2 linked regions of the Ovis aries genome follow. The protein of the gene in region 1 purifies or fractionates together with the protein of each later gene. This does not show direct contact. Links are inferred from orthologs where the notes say so. Each region holds a gene or a part of one and is shown on either strand. Other genes may lie near its edges.

Evidence for each region.
Region 2: the proteins of FOSL2 (region 1) and cyclic AMP-dependent transcription factor ATF-7 purify together in Homo sapiens (affinity purification with mass spectrometry; 3 studies listed by BioGRID and IntAct, counting the BioPlex papers as one, with this or other methods). This does not show direct contact. The link is inferred for Ovis aries from reciprocal best matches to the Homo sapiens genes FOSL2 and ATF7.

What each region holds. Positions count from the first base shown.
Region 1 is NC_056056.1:35,358,307-35,362,118, reverse strand, and holds part of FOSL2 (fos-related antigen 2), read right to left. Parts: intron 1,366-3,812; coding exon 1,258-1,365; intron 1-1,257.
Region 2 is NC_056056.1:132,984,570-132,988,381, reverse strand, and holds part of cyclic AMP-dependent transcription factor ATF-7, read right to left. Parts: intron 3,353-3,812; coding exon 3,200-3,352; intron 204-3,199; coding exon 6-203; intron 1-5. UniProt on the Homo sapiens protein: Stress-responsive chromatin regulator that plays a role in various biological processes including innate immunological memory, adipocyte differentiation or telomerase regulation.

The sequences.
Region 1 (3,812 bases):
CTACGGGCCTCGGGGGGCAGGCTATTCTGGGGCTGGTGGCAGAAGCACCTGGGGGTAGACCCAGGGGGATATGGCTCCCTGAAAGGTTAGTGGTGGGGAGGGCTCTCCAGGGTGTCTCCCAGGGAGTGCGGATCACTAACGGATCTGCCCCACCTGGCATCGGAGAGCTCCCACTCCTCCTCCCGCCTCTAACACCTCCACAGGCCACTACTACGGGCATCCCAGAATTCACCCAGTGCACATTTAAGGCCCATGAACAAGGGCTCCGGGATGGACACAGGGAAGTGGAAGCAGGAGAATGGTAGCTGGGAGGATTAAATAAAATAATAGGATTTGCAAGGCCATTTCGATTTCCAGAGCTCCAACCTGGCTGCTCAGTGCAATGACCACTGACACAGTCCACCTCATCTCCTCACTTGGAAAACATTCCACCCAGGAAGAGTCAGTCCTGGCTCTGGGTTTCCTCCACATGGCCCCTCCTGGAGGGCTGGACTCTGGAGGGAGTTACGTGATGTCGGTCAGGTCAAGGTTTGGGGCGGGAAGGGCGGGGCTGAGAGCCCCCAGGTGGGGGCAATTAGCCAGCGGGGGAGAATGACTCATAGGGCAGAATGAGGTACCAATGAGGTGACAGCTTCAGGCTCAGAGCAGAGGCGGGGAACCCTCCCGCCCACGGAGGATATGAGAAAACCCCAAGATAGCACAACTCAGCTGCCTATGATCCATACCCATGAGCCCCAGGGAGCGCCAAAACCCTGCAGAGGTGGAGAAGCCCAGAGAACCAGACAGCTGAAGCCAGGCTGGGCCCACTCCTGCCGGCGGCAGGCAGGCAGGCATGGGGGTGGCTGGAACCTGGGAAGAGGAACCCTGGAGGGGGCAGGCCTGGGCCTGCCTGGCTGCTGGCTGGCAATGGCGACACCCTCTGCCATCTCTCGCCCAGGAGCCCCAGCAGGTCTCAGCACAGGATCCTTTGGGTGCTGAGGTGGACAGGGTGCCAGGCCCAAGAAGCTCATCCAGTTCTCTCTGGGTCCAGGCTGGACGATAAAGGCCAGCTCCCTTCTCCCCAACCTGCCCCCCCAACCTCCCGCCTTCAAATCAGGGCAGGACCGACCCATGTGCTCAGAAGAAGGAATGCTTTTGCCCACACTAACTCTCCTGTCAGTCACTAGGGGTGAGGGAGGGAGGGGAGAGGGCCGGGAGCCCTGGGGTCCCAGCTCCAGCCCACCCAGGAGTGCGCCCACCCCACGCAGGGCTCCTCACCGCCTGCAGCTTCTCCGTCAGCTCCCGGCGGCGGTTCCGGCACTTGGCTGCAGCCAGCTTGTTCCTCTCCCTCCGAATTCGACGCTTCTCCTCCTCTTCAGGGGACAGCTAGAGGTCAGGGCCAAGGATCACGGTTAGGCTCAGGTGCGTGGCTCACCAAGATTTTCCGCTTTTAACCGCATTGTAAGTAGGGGAAGAAGCCCTTCTGGGACCGGGCAGGGAAGGAGGAAGGCAAGAGGAACGTGGTTCAGGGGCCCCAGAACATGTACCTCAGCCCAGGTTGGGTGCCTGGGGGTAAGGAGGAGCACTCCGAACTAAACCCCAGCCCCCAGCAGGGGATGTCGCATGTTTGAAGGGAGAGCAGGACTCCGAACTAAACCCCAGCCCCCAGCAGGGGATGTCGCATGTTTGAAGGGAGAGCAGGGCAGCCACGGGTCGGAGACTCACCAGCCCAGGCATGGCGGCAGCATGTGTCATGTCAGCCCTGACTCAGTGCCAAGACCCGAGGGAATGAGTAGGGGCCGTTCCCCAGAGTCCCCATGCCCGTTCCCCAGAGTCCCCCGTGCCAGGCCTGGCCCCACCCACTTACGCAGCTTCCTCCCAACTCGGCCTAATTACTCCTCCCCAACACTCTGCCTGCTCTGCAAGCCTTATTATCCCCACTTGATTACGTAGCTGGGCCCAGAGTAAGAACCACCCGGGGCTGCGGGGGGAGGCATGTTCTCTTGCCAGAGGGCGGGAGGGAGGGCCACCCCACTCCAAGTCCCTCTGCCAGCCCTCGAGTGCTAGCTGCTGGCAGTTCAACCCAGAGGACTCACCAGTGTGCCTGGCACAGTGCTGGATTGAGCAGGATGGGCAAAAAGGAGGAGGAGCCCTGGAGCAGGTTAGAACCCTGCTGTCCACCACATCTACTCATTCAACCAACCAGCCCTTCAACATACCAGGCATGGTGTGAGGGGTTAGAGATTTGTCAGCAAACCAAATGAACAAAAATCCGCCTGCAGAGCTTATGACCTAGCTCCTCACCAGGAAGCTGGTTAGGGGCCTGCAACTCAGGCCAGAGGGCAAGAACTCTGCCCCACCAACAGGGATGACACTCCGTTTACATAGAGCCCTTCCAGAGGTGATGTGAGTAGATGGCCGTGGGCCAAGGCAGGAAGGAATTCAAAAGGAAAGACCCCCTCCTTCAGGGATCACCTGGGACAGCACACCATCTAGGTGCCAAGTGATGTACTGGGGGCTTAGAAGATTCTGGGGGCAGTAAGGCCCAAGTCCTCCCCTCAAGAGACATGTGGGGAAAAGGCCAAAGCCATTTTTGGAGGGGCTGAGAGAGAAGCCGCCCCCACTGAGGGATGCTGTCTGGACCTCCAGCCAGCCTGCAAGTGAGGGAGCCACTCCCCGGGCTGAGTCCCCAGGACGCTGCCTGCAGAGCAGGGCATAGCATCACTGTGTCCCTCCCTAGCACCATCTGTCCTTGCAGCAGCCTCCACGTGGGGCGCACTGACCTGAGCCCATCCAGCTGGTAACATTACATTCCTGTTAGTCTTCAACCCTCTTACAAAGGCCTGGTCTTCGAGCCCACACTGGATCCTGGCTCCACTTCCCTCCTCAAGCCCCTGCCCCACCTCCCCGGGAAAGCTGATGGCTCCATGGTCTCTCTCCGGAGAGGTGTCGGGTGGCTCAGAGTCAGATGAAGATGTGGCTCTTCTGGGTGGACCCAGACAGATTACTGACCCTCCGAGCCTCAGATCCTCATTTGGAAAGTGGGGTTAATAGGACCTGCCCCGCCTCCCACAAAGCTTCTGCAGGGATCAGATGAGACGCAGTGTGAGAGTCCTCTCTAAACCACAAAGTGCTAGAAAGAAGACGACATAGTCCAGAGGTCTCCTCTCTGATACCCTTGCTGCACTCACTGAGCAGCAAATCAACCAGACACCCAGAGAACACAGATGGGGGCACCCTATTCTCTGTGGGATCACAGAGGATCACAGGCTGAGGTCACAAAAGGCCACTTGGCCAAGGCCCTGAATACCTGCCGCTCCAAAATCCATATCAGCCTGAGCCCGAGAGGGACCAAGAGAGCCTGATGGCCCTGTTGCAGCCCCAGGTTCAGGGCTCAGCATCAAAAGGCTACCAGGGCTCCCCTTGAGGCCCAGCTAGCACCCCGCTCCCTCACTGACAAAGGGCAGACAAGACAGAGAGCTGGTCCTGATCCACTTCTGCTTCCATCCCCCCTGGACAGATTCTGGCCTCCCCAGTACCTTAGAAGTTTCTCTCTTCTAAGAAGTGTCTGGTGAGGTACAGGGCAACTTGTGGGAGCGCTTGGCATAGGAAGTGTTCAGGGGCAGTGACAATATGGTTACAGCATGAGTGTGTCACACCACCACGTACCCACCCACAAGCCACACACACCCTCCCTTCCCTACCACTGCTGGCCTCAGAGGGAGCCTCTGGGGCGCCCCGGAGGAGGCAGTGAGGCACCAGACCAGCACCATAACAGCCTCTGCCCCCTGGGGGAGGCTGGGAAGGCGGAAATGAGCCTCAGAGAAAAGACC
Region 2 (3,812 bases), about 98 Mb from region 1:
CTCACACTCAGCTGAATGTTCTGAGAAGTGAGTTCCTCAGCCTTCTTCTCTAGGGAGGACACCCACAGCTTCCGCTTTTGACGGCAGCGGGAGGCTGCAGCCCGGTTGCGCTCCAGAAAGCGCTGTCGCCGCTCATCTGGGTCTTCATCAACTGTGCGCCGACGTCGGCCTCCAGTGCTAGGAGTGGGTTGGGCTGGCGAGACCTGTTGCCCAGAAGGAAGAGGAGTTACTTGAAGGGAATGTCAATCCTTTCCAAATTAAACCTGATGTAAGATCTGGCAAAGATCTGGTTAAAGGATCTACCAGCCTCTGTCACCACAGCAAGTCTCCTCGCTATGTCCCTTAGCTTCTCTTCTGCAGTAGTTCCTCATTCTGCCTCCTGTTTCCTTTCAGTCTTCTCAGTTCCATACTTAGACAAACTACAGTTCAGTTGGAAACTCTGATTATTTCTGAGACAGACAGACAAAAATGAAACTAGGATCATTTTTTGTTTCTTAACAGTAAATATGGTGGGCAGGGAAATTATAATCAGAAGTGTCAGGGGAACTTTCAGGGAGACTGTGGAATGAAAAATTGGAGAATTACTGATTTGGCCAAGCAAAATAGACAAACAACTGCATGCTGTAAGTTTCAGAAAAGGAGAAGAGAATTTACCATTAATGAGATACGAGCTATCATGGAAATATATGAATTAGCATTTTTTTTTTTTTGCTGTACCACGAGGCTTGAGGGATCTCAGTTCCGTGCTGCTGCTGCTGCTGCTGCTAAGTCGCGTCAGTTGTGTCCAACTCCGCTCGACCCCATAGATGGCAGCCCACCAGGCTCCTCTGTCTCTGGGATTCTCCAGGCAAGAACACTGGAATGTGTTGCCATTTCCTAAACCTGGGCCATGGCAGTGAAAGCCTGGACTCCTAACCATTAGGCCACCAGGGAACCCCTAGTATATTCTTTTTATTTGTAATCAGTTATTAGTCATCCTCAACAATGGCCCTGCTTCCTGCTTTGTTTGTTCTGTTTGTTTTTAAAGAGAAAAATATTTTCAAATCCCTTTACAAATTGGTGATTTAAGACCATCTTTTTTTAATTTTTTAAGGTTCTTATTGAACTTATTACAATTTAGCTTTTTTAAAAAATGTTTCTTTGGTCTCGAGGCATGTGGAACTTAGCTTCCAGACCAGGGATCAAACCTGCACCCCTTCCATAGGAAGGTGAAGTCTTAACCACTGGACCACCAGGGAAGTCCTCGAGACCATCTTTTTTTAAAAAAAATATTTATTTATTTTTGGCTGTGCTGGGTCGTTGTTGCTGTGCTTGGGCTTTCTCTAGTTGTGGTAAGTGGGGTCTATTCTCCAGTTGCTTTGTGAGGGCTTCTCATTATGGTGGCTTCGCTCGTGGAGCACGGGTTCTAGGGTACTCGGGCTTCGGTGGTTGTGGTGCACGAGCTCCGCTGACCCATGGCATGTGGGATCTTCCCAGACCAGGGATCAAACTGGTGTCCCTTGCATTTCAAGGTGTATTCTTAACTATCGGACCAATAGGAAAGCCCTTATCTTTTGTTTTTAAACTTAAGGCTGATGTCTCTTGTTTCTAAAGCACTTTTGAATCATCTTCCTTTTCTGTTAGCTGGTATGTATTCAAAGAAAAGAGACCAACCTTATAATAATGGCCAAAATTAAAATATAGAAAGGTCAGCCATCTGTATAAAAGAAACTATGTAATGTAAAACAATGCCAAAAATGAATTCTTCCTGAATCTGTTGCTATTAGAGAACATCTATACTGGTAGTTTCCAAATGCCAGAGCTCAAATCAGTTGCATGAGGATAAACATAAACTCATAAGAAAACAGAATCTTATTCTACTTCAGGCCCTACTGAATCATAGTCTCCAGTAATATAGATAATGAAGAGATAATTTTAATTATTCAGATTATTAGTCTCTCCCCCAAAAGAAAAAAAGCGGAGAAGAAATTTCAAACTCATTTTAATGAGCTACAGGCCTTGGGGTTGCTGCTTCTCACTGTACTAAGGGAAGTTTACACAGATTCTCTTGTGATTTTCAACTTGCTCTTTGTCCCGAGCTCACTGGTGCACACGTAAAGACTGGTGATTGAGGAGGAGAATGGGGAAAAGCAAACGATGGATTCCTATTCTCTTATAGGCAACTTAATAATACATGCAGGGAACGGAGGTAAGAGAACAGACCAAGAGAAACTTGGGAAGAATAAGGAGAAAAGGAATTAGTGGTAACTAAAAATGAAGTCATGTCATTTCCTCAAGGGGAAGCAGCACAGTTTGGGCAAGGGGGCTGCTGCTTTACCATTTTTAGAAGGGACTGGCATCAGAAGGGGTTACAGGAAGGTGGGCAGGCTTAGCTTCTAACAAGAAAACTCAAATGAAAGCTTTCGTTGTTGGCCAAGCTTTAAGGCAGCATATGGTCATTAAATGTTAGGACATGTGGTGGTAACTGATGAAGCAGGTGATGACATCAGGAAAAGGGGATGGGCCAAAGATGTAACTCTACAAACTGATATCAGGTTGTTGTCACCTAACCAGTACAGACAAAAAAAAAAGGCTTACTTGGTTTCCAACGAAACTTAGTAAAACTGAGGTCTCCTTGAAACAAAAGAATTGGGCTTCTAAAGTAGATCTCTCTGGCTTTTTTAAGACTTTAATTTCTCCTGATAAAAAGAGATTAAATTGATAAGGAAAAAGTGTTTTTCAGGGTATGTGTTTGTTTACTGAGCCATCTTAATGCTGTGACATCATATTTTATTAATATATTGTTAGTATCTGATTTTTGTATAATCAATTAAGTTTTTTGGGGGTTGGTGGGGGTTAAGACAGGAGAGACTAGAGACTTTGTTGTATAAAGTAGCTTGAAATGAGGTTCTGTCACATTTTAGAGGGCACTGCAGATAGAGCACTCACATGTAGAAATAATAAAAAAGTAGAAAACAGAAACTGAGACCTCCTCTGTGGCAGTTCTGCATTACCCAGTCTGCTTGCACTTTGTCTAACAAAAGGATGGATAAAACAGAGTGCATTTTGCTACTGTCACACTGTCAACAAGAAACAAAGTACAAGTTGAAGCCCAGAAGGCTGAAATCCATTCCTCCTTCATTTCCCTGCTCCTTGAAAAAACAGACATGACAAAGAGTAATAGCGACAAGCTGGTGCCGCCATCCAAGGGTCTGCTGACCTGTGGCTGGGCAGGGGATGGGGCGTCAGGGTGCTGGATGAGGATCTGGCTTTGCTCTGGACGGGCTGTCACCATGGTGCTGGCAGTCCCCACCACCATTCCACAACCACCATTGATTGAGGAGACCTGGTGGGTTAGGGTAGCTTTTAGTCTCTGTGGTAAAAGATAAGAAAAAATAGCTTGTCAAGGGTGAGATTTTATTAACAGTGAGAAAAGTGGGCTTAGATTTTATTACTGGCCTTACAGACAAAATTCCCACACTGATTTTCCCTTAACAAAGGGATTAAAAGAAAATGACATAGAGAGAAAGAGCGCACATGACCCCTAAAATACCTACTCTGTTCCCTCACTATCATCCTGGGCACAGTTGGAGGGTGGGGGTTGTTGAAGCGATAGAGTCCAGATGAAAGCTCTACCCTGGAACCTGGCCAGGGGCTGGTTATGCAGTTATTCACCTCTTGGCCAGCTCTCCTGCCCACTCATCCACCCTCCATCTGTCACCCTGGAACTGAAACAGCAAGAGTTCCATCCAAACAATCTGTGCTGCTTCTTTTCACTGCCATTGCCTGTGTACCAGGCTCTAAAGGTGGCAGAGAGGAGATAAGAGTCATGA